Linked DNA regions of Schizosaccharomyces pombe. The protein of the gene in region 1 binds, or shares a complex with, the protein of each later gene. Each region holds a gene or a part of one and is shown in the gene's direction. Other genes may lie near its edges. The genes, in order: tfg2, tfg1 and tfg3.

Region 1 (5,434 bases):
AATTTGCAATGATATCTTCATTACTGCGATGAAGTCGAACGGATGCTGCAAACTCATCGTTAGTGAAGAAGAGGAGGATCTTATCGTAGTTGATAGCAACGGTTCCTATGCCGTCACTTGCGATCCCATCGATGGCTCTTCCAACATTGACGCCGGTGTTAGTGTAGGTACCATATTTGGTATCTATAAACTGCGACCCGGCAGTCAAGGCGATATTAGCGATGTCTTAAGGCCTGGTAAAGAAATGGTTGCTGCTGGCTATACTATGTATGGTGCTTCGGCTCATTTATTGCTTACCACAGGTCATCGTGTCAATGGCTTCACCTTGGACACTGATATTGGCGAATTCATCTTGACCCATCGAAACATGAAAATGCCTTTGCAACATAGTATTTATTCCATTAATGAGGGTTACACTGCATTTTGGGATGAAAAAATCGCTCGTTTTATTGCTCATCTCAAAGAAAGCACACCAGACAAAAAACCATACTCTGCTCGATACATTGGTTCTATGGTCGCCGATATGCACCGTACCATTCTTTATGGTGGGTTGTTTGCTTATCCATGCTCAAAAGGAAATAACGGAAAGTTGAGACTTCTTTACGAATGTTTCCCCATGGCCTTCCTTGTTGAACAAGCAGGAGGTATTGCGGTAAACGACAAAGGAGATCGCATTCTGGATTTGGTACCCAAAACATTACACGGAAAAAGCAGTATTTGGCTTGGAAGTAAACATGAAGTCGAGGAATATATTAATTTCATAAAATAGTAATTCCTAGTTCTTTGAAGTCCTCTCCGTTACTTTTTATCTTCTTATCACCAAACATGGTTATTCCATTCCAATAATGCAGAAACTGAAACTTTTGTCAATTATTCTCTGCATCATCATAAACATGGATCTCCAATTAGGTTATTTTTCTCACATATATATGTATATATATATAATATTTGTATATGAATACATGTATCTTTTAGATGAAAAACTTATGGTTGACAGTTGCACTTTGTCAACCTCTTAGTTTTTTAACTTAAAGAAAAAGAGATAATAGTTTTTGTCGTGGATAGAGATTTTAAGGTGGAATTCACCTATTTTTCAGAGGACGTTGGAAAAGCTTAATGTTTTCAAGTAATGTTTTAGGATACATAAGTACATTTGAAATAAATGTCTTTATTAAAAAACAAACAGCTACATTTGTTGTGATTTTTTCTGTATTCAATAATCATCTGCTAACTGTATTTTCTAAACCGTAAAGTCCAAATCCTGACTGTAGACAAGTTAGTCTTTGTTTACGGCAAGATGTTGAATGGAAGTAAAGACGCCGTCAGTTGCAGTACACTTCATAACATTATTTTTTGACCAGGGTGACATTCACAGGCTCAAAAGAAGGAAATACCGAACAATTCAATCCAACGTGAACTGTTTCTGTAACAGTACTCCCTTAAACATTCGATATATTTTTCTCGTAGAAAGCTACATCTTTTTAAAATACCAAAGTGTCTAACAATATTCTAAACTTGTTTTTAAGGATTGATTACTTTATGTGAATTTAAATTACCGAGGGCTATATGCAATTCTCGACTTCACTCCGTACCTTAAATCGGTTTGTTAAAATAAGTTAGTGAAGTACAATGACATTTCGGTAAAATATTTATGCGATGCTTGTAAAGAACCGTAAATCAAAGTTGCTTTAGGGAGGCGACATCAATGCTTCTTTCTCTTAACTTGTTAAAGAAAGAACCATTGAATAGTGGAAACTGCTTGAGTAATTTTCACTATTTTGAAGGATTTAAAATGTCTGAAGAAAAACCGACGGTTCGAACTGAGGAGGATGACCGCTATGAAGACGATGCTGGTGATTTAGATTTGGGTCAAATTGGCTCAAGAGTGTGGTTAGTTAAAATTCCCAAGTTTTTGATGGACAAATGGAATTCAATTCCAGAAGACGATGCCGCTAATCTAGGGTGTGTTCGGGTCAAGAATGATGAAATACAATTACTTCTTCAAAACAGTCCTGAAAATGCAGACGTCCCTAAAATTTATAATTTACGCGTAATGAATAAGTTTGTTAGGAATTCTTATGTTTTCCGAGAATCAGAGACATCTAGTAGCATGAAAAGTACTGCTTTGGTTGGTACCGTTGCCCATGAGTGCAATGTCTCACCTGTTATTAATGATGACTATCGCCGAGTCATGCAAAAACGTGCTTTGGCAGCTAGTGCCCCTAAACGCAAAGTTCAAATGATAGATGATCGTGGAGGTAGTTTGCTTGCACCTGGAACACTTGGTTCTCGTTCGAGAAGCACAACTTCATTTATCGTATGTTTTGCAAATATAATGTTTAATTGTAAGCATCAAACTGCTAACTTTTTTTTCAGAGAAATGTCAAACCCAGGACTGGGGAGGGTCTTAAGAATTCCCGTATACCTAGAAATGAGTTACTAGATATCTTGTTTAAGTGCTTTGAAGATTACGAATACTGGACTCTTAAAGGACTTCGTGAATATGTTAAACAACCAGAGGTATGTCACTATACTTTGATAATGGATATTCTTTGCGTAATTGAAATTATCCATTTTTTATTTAATTTGATTTGTCAGAATTAAACTAATGAATTCATATTAGGTTTATCTCAAAGAAGTTTTAGACAGTATTGCTATTTTGAATAAAAGAGGGCCTTATGCTCTTAAATACAGCCTCAAGCCTGAATACAAGGGCACAATGGATGCTGCATCTGTCGAGTTGCGCAATCAACAAGCCTCTCAATCCGAGTCATCCTCGATCGATCATACAGGCAAAAATACATCACCTGATAATCCTGGAACGAATGCTGAAGAGGATGAAGATGATGATGGGGTTGAGATGATTGATGTTGTTTGATTAACGAATTAATGTACTTTCTTCTTTTGGCTTTTTGTTAAAAAGCTTCCAAAATCTTAGCGTTTCGTCCCCAGCTCCCGTAACTATAGACTGGCCATCGGGACTCATAGAAAGGTAGAGGACACGGTTTGTATGGGCAGTAAGATTGGCGATATTTTTCAATGAAGGATATTTCCATAAGGATACTTGGTTTTTTGCAAAACCATGAGTAGTAACAATTTCGTTAGAAGTCTTGGACCAGGCCATGTTACATACTTGTGAGCCAGTATCCAACTTATTTTGTAGCCTTCCAGTCAAAGTATTATGAATCGTTAGACATCTGTCGATGGTACCCCCGCCGCTTGCGAGGATCCCTCGTTGATGAGGGCTCCATCCAATTGCTTTGACCGCTGCTGTATGCTCTTCAAACTTATGTAAAGGACGTGAAGAGCGGTAATCCCATACGAATAAATTATTGTCATTCCCTCCTGAAGCAAGCTGTCCTAGACTTCTATCCCATTGCAATCCGCATATTTCTTGTTCATGAACTTTCATCATTTCGGCACAGCAACCTGGTGCTCTTAGGTCATGATGTAAAATTACTTCGTCTTTGCCTCCACTTGTGAGGGTATTATCGTTCCATGCTAATGCTGCCACCCTTTCGGAGTGACCTTTTAAAGATCTGACTGATTTCGTAGACTCGATATCCCAGATGTAAATTACTCCTGAATCTGTCCCTACAGCTAATTGAGTTCCTTTACCTGTCCATAAGACGCTTGTGACATGATTTGTTGCTCCGAAATCATGTAATTGAACCACTTTACCACTTGCTGCTGACCAGAGATAAATGCTGCTTGCTAGTCCGACTGCCAAGACATTAGATTGGCCCCAGTCAAGCAAGTTTAAATAAAAGTCATTTTTTAAGTAAGGTGCATCCAAGATTTTATATGGAGTTTTTGGAAAAGCTCTTTTGGGCTTTTGTGGTTGCCGCAACATATCTTGAGATTGCGGTGAAATAGGAGATAGAGAATATGATTTTCTATCAGGTGTATCCAACATTTTCTTCTCAATTTTCCTTTTGTCTTCTCCATAATAGAAGGCTCTAGAGCGAGATGCTTGTGAACCGAAGAGCTCCATGCTTAGTAGCTCCATGAATTGCCTTTGAACTGCTGTCGTTAGTAATGGGAATATAAAACTAAAAAAGGTACATACTAGTGCCAGAGGTTTTGCGCCTAAGATTTGATCCATGGCTTAACACACATTCTTTGAATGACTGGAAACTAAAGTTGAACTCATTGCTAACGTTGCGAATGGGAATGAATCGGTCTCCCATTGTCAACCAATTCTTTATAAGTTGAAGTTAGTCGGGATGGAAGGGAAATGTTGAGATTCCTATTTCGTGAATAAATACCTTCCATGCTTTATTTGTTTTTACTGAGTGCTTTTTTCTGCCCGTCTGCAAGACATTGCTACAGAATTATGAAACCAGGTGGCTTGAAAAAATGCTAATTATGAGCTATAATGACTGCAGTAAACAAACATTTGCTAAATACTCTGTATAACTGCTAAAAATAAAGCTATCCTGTGATCGCCGTATTACCTAATGCTACCGTTTAAACTAAACAAATGCACTCATCAAAACAAACTGTTGATAAAAAATATCTCAATAACAATATTATAGTCATCAACCAGCAAAAGGTGATGTTATGGTAAGAGAACTCCTAAAATATGATGTTCATAGAAAAACAACAACAATGATCAGTTGACCACGATGTGCCAAACCCATTGTTTTCTGAATGTTTATTATGATCATCAGATCCCGGTCTTGTAAACTTATTGCCAAGAACCCAATTTCTTCAAAATGTTCAATTAATTAAACATTTATTTTAGTTGTTTTGTAACAGAGTAAATAGTGCTATAGATTCGTTCAAAAAAATTCCAACTACTATCGAATGCAAATACTTTTTACCATGTATGTGAGTACAAAAAAAATTTTCTCCTCATTCTCATTTCAATTGATTTATTCCTAACTATTTCTGTATTTCTTTTGGGATATTCATTTTTAAAGACAAATCTTCGTATGCTACTAATTTTTCCAATTAAATACTATTGGTATATTTCTGCATTTCTTGTTTATTTGATTAATAGTACAATTTCATATTTTAGGACGATAATAAATATGAGTTTTTTTGTACTAAGTGGTAAGCAAAAACAACATTTTTTGTATATCATTAATGTTTTCGTTGTACTACTTAGCATTGCCTATAAGGAAATGCAGCGTGTCGATATATCCCTTAATAACAAACCATCTTTATTTCAGATTTACACTCCTCAGTTTGTGTCCCACCCTTCCTAAATCGCTGTGCTAGCAAACTGCGAATTAAAGCTCACGAAGCGTTTTGTACGATATTAGCGATTGATAAGTTGAAGTGATTACTCAATTATAGTACTTCAAAAATATAATCTTTATGGATACCTCCGTATTAAATCCGGAACTTCAGATTCATGGATTTATTGGCGTGGATTCTTTGCAATCATCAAGGAAACGAAAGAATGATTTTGATGATTTTCCACTTA
Region 2 (4,397 bases), on another chromosome or scaffold:
AGACGCAACCGTCATGGCGATGGTCAAGATGTAAACAAGCACAATGCGTTTGAGAGAATCTGTCTCGGTGAACTAAGGAAATTGAAGTCACCGAGTTCACCGAACCTTAATTGTTAAAAACAATATTTCATACTAAACAGGTCAACAGTAAAACGTTAAAGAGTATTTGAATCATCCTTGTACTCGGTTGGAATTACAAATTCTTATGCAAAAAGCTTTGCTTTACGTATACAGCAAGTGTGAAGTCAAGTCTGTCTATGTGGATGTGAAAGGGCTTAAAAAGTATAAAATTAAAAATTTTAAAATACTATTTTCAAACATCGATTGTTCTCGTTTAGCTCTTACTATCATTTAAAAGCCAATACATATGAATTCACAGAATCAGCAGTGAATTATTTGGGCCCTTAGGGACAGCAATAGGGAAATGATATTTAATATTGGTAAAAAGTGTTCAGAATTTAGAGAAATAACTGAATGGATGATATTTCAAACCCTCTTACTACTAACAGCCGTGGTCGCTCATACTCATACGTTTAATGACCCATAATTGAATATAGGATTAAGAAATCGTCAGAAATTTAAAAATAAATATATATAAACTAGCAAAAAATATTTTAGTATAGATAAGGCTACCATTGTCTCGTGGTGTGCGATTTCCCAATAAAGCTATTTGCTATAAGCGTTTTGCTTTTGTAGGTAAATATCAAAGCCATTAGTTAATTAAAGGAAATGGGACAGAATCTGGAAAATCAAGTATTGTGCCTCGGTTGACACTCGTAAACTAGAAGAGATTATGTTCAACTCGCATTACAATATCATATACATGAAACCAAATAGTCTCCTCCATTTTCAGCAGAAGAAATAATGAAATCGTTAAATATTTACATGCTGATTTCGTTAGAGATTTATTCAAAAACTGATTACTTACTCCTCAATTGCCCACATATGTGCCTCGTGTTCTTGTGCCTTTCTCTCATTTTGGCGCTGAAACCATTTATTTTCAAATCCATTACCACGAATAATTCCATCCCAACGATGGCCAGGTCGTATATTAAACCTATTGGGAGGCGCATATCCTTGATAAGTAGCTTTTGATGATACAGGTTTATTAGTGAGAAACGAAGCAGCTGGGTCATTCCAACGAGACCTTTCTTTCAATTCCTTATTGTATTCAGGATCGTCCTCATAACGCGCCAATGGCACCGTTTTTTGCCTTTCAAGTTCTTTTAGGTATTCTTTCTGTTGACGCACTTGAACCACACCTTGTTGTTGTTCCTTCTGTCTTCTAGCTTCTTCCTCTTTCTCTTTTAATTTTCTTTTGGCTTCTTTTCTTGCAAGAACCAGATCTATCCTTCTCCCTGTGGCATCTCTGTAAACAGTTTCGCGACTTTTGCGAAGCTCTTCCTCATCAAGATTGGATGATTTCTCTTCTCTCTTTCTTCTTTCTTCAGCTTTAAAGGTCACCTGCTTTCCAGTTAACAGACCGAACTGAGGAATTGATTCAGCATCATGAGAATCCTGTTGTTCAGATTCGACAACTTCATCATTCCCCACAGCTTTCCACAACTGAGCAGGTTTATTAGTAGTTTTTTCTATATTCTGATAAATAGCATCAATATCTCGATCTTTAAGGCTTTCATTTGCGACAATTGTAGGGGCATCATGCAAAGATGTGAGTTCTCTGTTGACTAGTGAAAATGAATTGTCATCGTCCCATCCAGCGACATCTTCATCCTGAATTTCTACAAAATCCTTCTCTTTCTTCTTTTTCTTTTTCCCTTGATCTTTTCGTAAATACTTTTTAGCAATATAGTCGGCGTTTGACATATGTGCTGAATGCATATTTTCTTACCTGAGCGCTTCTTAACTCGCTACCTTCCAACACCGGCGGAAGATCAGTATTGACATATTTTATCGGAGAACATGGATTCACAAGAGACAAAAGTTTTTGAAAATGTAAAGCAGGAAAATCCTGATGAGAAGAAACCCAAAGTTGAGGAGCCTGACTCCCAAAATAATGCTTCGACACAATCGCAGCAAAAATTTTTGGATTTCCAGCTTTCATGGTGTCCAGAGAGTGAAAGAAAAACAACTAAATACCATTTATTAAAATTTCACTCTAACAAAGCCATTGATCCTTCCAAATCCTTTGTGCCACCCATAAAAATGCAACGCAGAGACCCCAATGCTCCATCTTCGTCAAACGGAGAACAAAATGCAGAACAAGGAAGCTCCAGTAACGTGAACATCGCTTCAATCGCTCCTTACGGTGGCGCTCAAAACATGAAGCAGAATGCCTTTAAAAGGAAAACTCGCCAGGTCGTCAAAGTTGATCCACAGGCCCGCAGACTACAAGAGGAGGAGTTATCTCCTTGGATTATGGAAGATTTTGAAGGAAAAAACACATGGGTTAGTACGATGGAAGGCGGCCAATCGTCTGCATATGTATTGTTCATGTTCTCTGTAAGTTTTTATCCCATTTGAAGATGTTGGATGTTTATCATTCATCTTTTGATCATTTAAGATTTTTTATGCTTACTCTATAGGAAAATGGTTTTAAGGTGATTCCAACTGATAGATTTTATCGATTTAATCAACGTAACAATTTCCAAACGCTTTCAATTGATGAAGCGGAGGCAAAGGTCAGTCCTTATTTCCATCAGGTCTTGTCTAACCCATTTAGATGAATAAAAAAACTCCGATTCCTCGCTGGTTTATGAAAAAGGAGAGTGAAGAAAACTTAGCAGAGGCAGGCTCTGCTTCACCCATGTATAAACTTAAGACGGTTCCAAATGCACGTCCTGTAACGGGACCGAGAGCTAGTGGAAGTGATGATGAACTAGATTATGACGAGGAATTCGCTGACGATGAAGAAGCACCTATTATGGAAGGAAATGAAGAAGATAATAAGAAGTTGAAAGACAAGATTAAAAAGGAAATGCTAACTGCCAATTTGTTTGGTGAAGCTGATCAAGATGTCGACCTTGAAGAGGAGAATGATAGACAAATGTCGCGTGAAGGAAAAAAGCTGCAAAGATACTTAAAATTGCTTGAAAAGAATTTAGCTTATGAGAGTGATGAGGAAGATGAGGACCCTTATGCTTCCTCCCATGATGCGTCTAGTGAAGAAGAAGTTTTGCAAGAAGAAGAAGAATTGCAAAAGCGTGAAGAAAAACTAAAGTCTAGATTTTCTGCGAACGCTTCCAAAACTAATACACCAAGACCACTAGAACGAACGCCAAGCAGCGTATCTCCTGTCAAAGCTTCATCGCAACTACAATCACCTAATACTTCTATTCAAATAAGGCCTCAAGAACAACTTATTAACAAACCTGGATATATAATTCTCCGCTTATCAAGTGAAAAGTTATCACGGTTTGCCAATGACTTTCCCCGTATGGTCCCTAGCATGGGGTCTACAGAAACGAGTGTAGGAGATCAAGTGGAGGTTGTGGGAGATACTACAAATGTTCCAATTGATGGTATGCTAAAGTTTTACATTTACCAGAAAATTTATTAACGTGCTTTTAGATTCTAATCTGATTACGGAGGCAGAGGTAATGAAGGCTTTAAGAGCTGGTCCCATTTCTATTAAGGATCTAGTTCACCTGTTCCAACGCAAAATTAGAGCCGACAACAGAAATCGGTTGGGAATACAGAAGATCATTCGAAAGGTTGCTCGATTTGAGAACAAGCTACTCGTTTTAAAAAACTAGTTATGAATTATCTATGTAATAACGTTTATATATTAATGAACATTAAAGAAAACATTTGTTTTATTTTTGGAAACAAAATTCAAAATTGCATTAATTTAAGAGCATAGTAGAACTATTACAATTTAACATTTCCCCTAAAATAGAAAACGTCGGATTGTTAAGAAGTGCACTCGTCGATCGGTATAGTATCAAATACACGAGTTTACGATCGCGATGTTCAACTATGCTACTATATAACTGTAAATGTGTATAAAATATATAAAGAAGAAAAATAACAAACCATTTCTTTAAGACATGGTAAACAGCTGTGCTAAGAATTCTATATACACAAGTCATTATATAAAATCATTCCATGATGCCGTATGTCGTAATGATAATAAGAAAAGGGGGTTGTAAACAATTATACATTAAAGCCGTTAAAATTAGCAGCCTACAAAGGTAGCTCGAAGCTAACATTCACATCGGCTTCACGTGCCATTTCGACAACGCGACTGAAACGACAAGCCTTCTTAGCTGCTTCATCAAGATCATCAAATGAGAAAATACGGAGACCTGAGTTGTTGATTACCTCTTTGGCAGCACCTTGGTTGGTTCCTTGAAGTCTGCAAATAATAGGTATGTTCAGATTCAACGCTGATACTACCGAGATAAGACCTTTGGCAATAACGTCGCATCGAACAA
Region 3 (4,057 bases), on another chromosome or scaffold:
GTTTAATTATTAGATGTTCAAAAATGCTATACTTAATTACAAACAAGAGAGTTGAAAGCTGTTACGTGATATTCCATTTTTTGAGTAAATGTGAGGATACCATTGAAAATAAAAGGTCGGATTTTTACTAACGGTTTATATGCATAGTTATTATAGGTTACAAAAAATAATGATCTGATAATTCCAAGCTAAAGTAAAACGAACTAAAACAAAGAATGATAAGAAATTGGTGTTTTTTATTTCCATAAAAATTGAGGGTCATAATTTCGTCGGCTATAGAGCTATGTATACAATCTCCAAATGACTTTGACTTTCGGTTTGGAAATCCGCTAGAAAGTGAAGAAGAATGTATACATAAAAGGTGTAATTAGGTTCAATTCCCAATTTACATCTAAATAAATAATGCTGATACTAGGAACGTTCTTTATCATAAAATGAAATGTGTTTCAACAAATACCTAATTAAGCATTTATCGTTTTAATCATCTTTTTTTAATTTACAAATATTTTATAAAAATAAAAAAAGTGTTTAGATATTTCTTGGGTAAAAGACACTAAACGGTTGCTAAACATTTGTGTCGATTGAATATGAATGATATAATATCGTTAAAAATGCGTTGGAATCACTTGGTTTGAATGTTGGAAATTAGATTCCAAACCCATGCGAATGAAGCGTAGAAATTCATCGACACTCATGCCATTTCTGGAGCAGATTTTCCAAAGACTAGCAGTTTGTTCCATTACTAGCTCATCCAAACCAAGACGATCATATTTCTTCGATCGATGCTTAGGTTCTTGGACAAGGTTTCTAGATTCTTCTACATCTTGATTGGAAGGTTGGTCAAGATCATAACGATCCCAGTAAGGCTTTTCGCTGTGTGAAACAGGAGAAACATCCCGCTCCTTGTCAGTGGATGTTAAGTCACCACTAGAATCGCGTCTCAACAATTGTTTTTGGGTTTTATCATAGAGGCCCATAAGTTTCAGAGAATGATCCTTTTGGTAAAAAAATACCTCAAATTCATACTTCCCTGCTTCAAATAAATACGATATCACATGGTCTTCAGGTGTCCCGCGACCAACAAACTTGGCAGAACGAGGGTCAAAGCTTTGCAAAAATTTCCATAACTCTTCTGACTCCTCTTTGCTGAGGTCCTTATTTATAACTAATCCTTCCCACCATCGATCCGTGGGTGCTAAAAACTTGACTCTCAACTGCAAGATAGGGGTAACAACACCATCTAGTTGTTTGGGATTTTTCAAAGGGAATATGCCTAAGCATGCTAATTCATCATGTCTTTCGTTAGTCATGTTTCACTGTGTACTAAAGTGAAATTAAATCAAAGCTTAAGCTGCCGGGTGTAATTGACAATGTGAACAACGCATATGCTACCACTCCATTTATATACGTAACTGACACGGCTTCTGGATAACGAGGATCGATTACTGACACAATCAATTTTTTAAAATATTAAACAACTTTCACTATTCTCGTATTAGCAACAAAGTTCTTTTGCTGCGGTATTTTTTGTTATTCTCAAATGTTCTAAAGAAGTTGCCAGATTAATCCATCGCTGGAAAAGAATCCAATAGTTCAAAGTTCTTTCAGCTAAAGCCTAGATCCAATTTATGAATAAGCTAACTTGGGAATCGGGATAAACTCTTACCTCTGCATAAAAATAATATACCCAATGCCTTATATTAACATGGTGCTCGAGGGTTTGTTTACTATATAGTTCGAGTAAAATTCATCGCATCCAAAAGTTTCGTTATTATGCTTTAAAATTAAACTGACTGTGCATTAAAGTTTTTAGTATATTACACTGCAGTACCATACCTTCACTGTCAGTTTGTAAGTCTACTTGTACTTTCCAGGAATTTGGGCCGTGACGAACCCAAAAGTCATATTCCACTATTCAAACGTTTTATAGTCTCACAGTTTTAGCAGTTACTTCCCTGTAATCTGCTAATAAATTTTAACAAAAGAGATATTTGTTATTAAACCAAAGTCATTTGCTTTATCCTTGAGTTAACCGACTTTTAGAAGTCCTTAAAAGTAGTAGTGCTCAATATTTCTGAACACAAATTACTGGTGCTTCTATTTCAATTCGTACATTGGCAAGATTTTTTATCTTTTCAATTTTAAGAATACCGCAAAAGTTATAGAATCGTTAGCCCGATATCTCTTCTCACGACTCGCTAAGCGTCTTCTATCCATATATTTTTCGTCCTCATATACATTGATTTAAGAATATGACAACTGTGAAAAGAACTGTGAGATTAATTACTGATCAGGTATGAAAGCCATCTGATTCATTTGCTACGACCGAGGCGCGTTATTTGACCCAATGGTCAAGGTTAGGTGCAATTACAAAAAACTTTGGCATTATACAGGATGCTCGTACAATTGAATTTAGAAGAACAATAAAAAACAAAACTTTTTCTTGCAAGTATCTTGATGAACTTTGAACTTACAATATTTAGAATGTGTTGCCGGGAGGTGAAGCAGCTGTGTTGAACGATCAAAGCTTCCCTGTGAGGGAATGGTCTATAAAATTGGTCTGCTTAAATCCTCAGGGAGAAGAAACTGACGCTTCCTTTGTTGATCGTGTCACCTATAAGCTACATCCAACATTTCAAAATCCTACACGCAGTATGTATTATGTGATGAAAGGAAGATTAGCAGAATAACGTTAACTAATTTTTTTAGCTATCAGAAAACCTCCTTTCCAAATAAAAGAGCAAGGATGGGGTGAGTTTGAAATGGAGATCATAATATACTATGCGGACAAAGGTGGTGAACATCGGTTCCTTCACTATTTACATTTTCAGCAGGAGCATTATCATGAGGATATCGAATTGGTATGTGTTTTAAGTATTTTAACATTTACTAGACTCTGATTTTATGGTGCTAACTGAGTCTTAGAATATCAATGCTACTAGGCCAGGTTTATTAAAGGCACTGACAGCCACTGGAGAAGTACCTGGCTACAGTGATGAAGGTGAAGAAGCTCGTAAGGATAAAAGAAAAAACGAATCAGAAGTTGGTGCTGGGAAGAAAAAGGCGAAAGCTAAACCTGTTGACATGGATAAACTTGCAGAGGGTTTGCAAAAACTTCAGGAGGATGACTTGTTACAAGTTGTGCAGATGGTGAATGAGAACAAAACACCAGACATGTATGTCCGAAACGACATTGAAGGGGGTGAATTCCATATTGACTTATATACTCTGCCGGACAATCTTCTGCTCTTATTATACAGTTTCTGTGCTAAACGCGTCACTATGTAATTAAGAGCATTGCAGTTTTGTGCAGCCTACTTTAAGGGAGAAGCGTTAGTTTCCCCATTCTACTTTTTTCCTGAAGACTGCTTAATGAGTTCTTGTATCATAATTTAAATAAGAAATTTCATTCCTTTTCACTATTTTTTGAGTTTAACTTGCGCTTAAACAGCGATACAAACATTTGTATTTTGGTACTATGGTGTAGCTTTTGTCTCGAAAAAGAATATTTGGTTAGATTAATATAATTATTTTTGTTTTTACTTACATAATATTTTAAAACCGACCTTTTTAGCTTTCATAATCAGCAATTCAGATTATGATCACACTGCCGATAAGTAGTTATTTATCATTCCTTGGATTAGGCTCACTTTGCTATTCGCAAACGTTTCCTGCAACTACAACTTCATGACAGATTAAATTATAATTATTTTATATCGACCTTATAGTGTTTATTTATTACTGCACAAGAAATTATAGAGTTATGTCTCTAAAACCAGTTAAATTAGCCTTTGAGAAGTATTCTGCCACAGTTGCTAAACACCCCCCAGTTTTGATCTTCCACGGACTATTGGGATCTAAGCGTAATTGGAGAAGTTTGGCAAAAAAGTTTTCCTGCAAACTTGACCGGGATATTTACGCTATTGATCAGAGGTGTCATGGAGATTCTCCCTGTGTAGCTCCTCTCAGCTATTCCGCCATGGCTTTGGACGCTTTCCAGTTTATGAAAGATCACAAATTAGATAAAGCATCAATAATTGGTCATTCCATGTGAGTA

The links.
Region 2: tfg2 (region 1) and tfg1 share a complex: the UniProt entries of both Schizosaccharomyces pombe proteins name them as parts of the fcp1/TFIIF/polII complex.
Region 3: tfg2 (region 1) and tfg3 share a complex: the UniProt entries of both Schizosaccharomyces pombe proteins name them as parts of the fcp1/TFIIF/polII complex.

The regions. Positions count from the first base shown.
Region 1 is NC_003423.3:193,434-198,867, reverse strand, and holds tfg2 (transcription factor TFIIF complex beta subunit Tfg2), read left to right. Parts: upstream 1-1,720; 5' UTR 1,721-1,792; coding exon 1,793-2,317; intron 2,318-2,376; coding exon 2,377-2,520; intron 2,521-2,623; coding exon 2,624-2,878; coding exon of another isoform or gene 2,879-4,023; 3' UTR 4,024-4,069; coding exon of another isoform or gene 4,070-4,190; 3' UTR 4,191-4,830; downstream 4,831-5,434. Other genes in the region: fructose-1,6-bisphosphatase Fbp1, read left to right, coding at 1-769; ubiquitin ligase Mfr1, read right to left, coding at 2,879-4,023, 4,070-4,190; RNA polymerase I transcription termination factor/ RNA polymerase II transcription factor Reb1, read left to right, coding at 5,326-5,434. UniProt on the Schizosaccharomyces pombe protein: TFIIF is a general transcription initiation factor that binds to RNA polymerase II and helps to recruit it to the initiation complex in collaboration with TFIIB. It promotes transcription elongation.
Region 2 is NC_003421.2:2,160,650-2,165,046, reverse strand, and holds tfg1 (transcription factor TFIIF complex alpha subunit Tfg1), read left to right. Parts: upstream 1-1,873; 5' UTR 1,874-1,923; coding exon 1,924-2,463; exon of another isoform or gene 2,464-2,546; coding exon 2,547-2,642; exon of another isoform or gene 2,643-2,653; intron 2,654-2,683; coding exon 2,684-3,482; intron 3,483-3,531; coding exon 3,532-3,716; 3' UTR 3,717-3,852; downstream 3,853-4,397. Other genes in the region: nuclear pore complex component nup97, read right to left, coding at 1-15; protein Cwf26, read right to left, coding at 882-888, 929-1,827; succinate-CoA ligase beta subunit Lsc2, read right to left, coding at 4,147-4,397. UniProt on the Schizosaccharomyces pombe protein: TFIIF is a general transcription initiation factor that binds to RNA polymerase II and helps to recruit it to the initiation complex in collaboration with TFIIB. It promotes transcription elongation.
Region 3 is NC_003424.3:893,114-897,170, forward strand, and holds tfg3 (TFIID, TFIIF, Ino80, SWI/SNF, and NuA4 complex YEATS family subunit Tfg3), read left to right. Parts: upstream 1-1,885; 5' UTR 1,886-2,252; coding exon 2,253-2,294; exon of another isoform or gene 2,295-2,483; coding exon 2,484-2,652; exon of another isoform or gene 2,653-2,709; coding exon 2,710-2,861; exon of another isoform or gene 2,862-2,925; coding exon 2,926-3,288; 3' UTR 3,289-3,434; downstream 3,435-4,057. Other genes in the region: protein mug35, read right to left, coding at 606-1,310; SPOM_SPAC22H12.03 (hydrolase), read left to right, coding at 3,764-4,050. UniProt on the Schizosaccharomyces pombe protein: Functions as a component of the DNA-binding general transcription factor complex TFIID, and the RNA polymerase II associated general transcription factor complex TFIIF.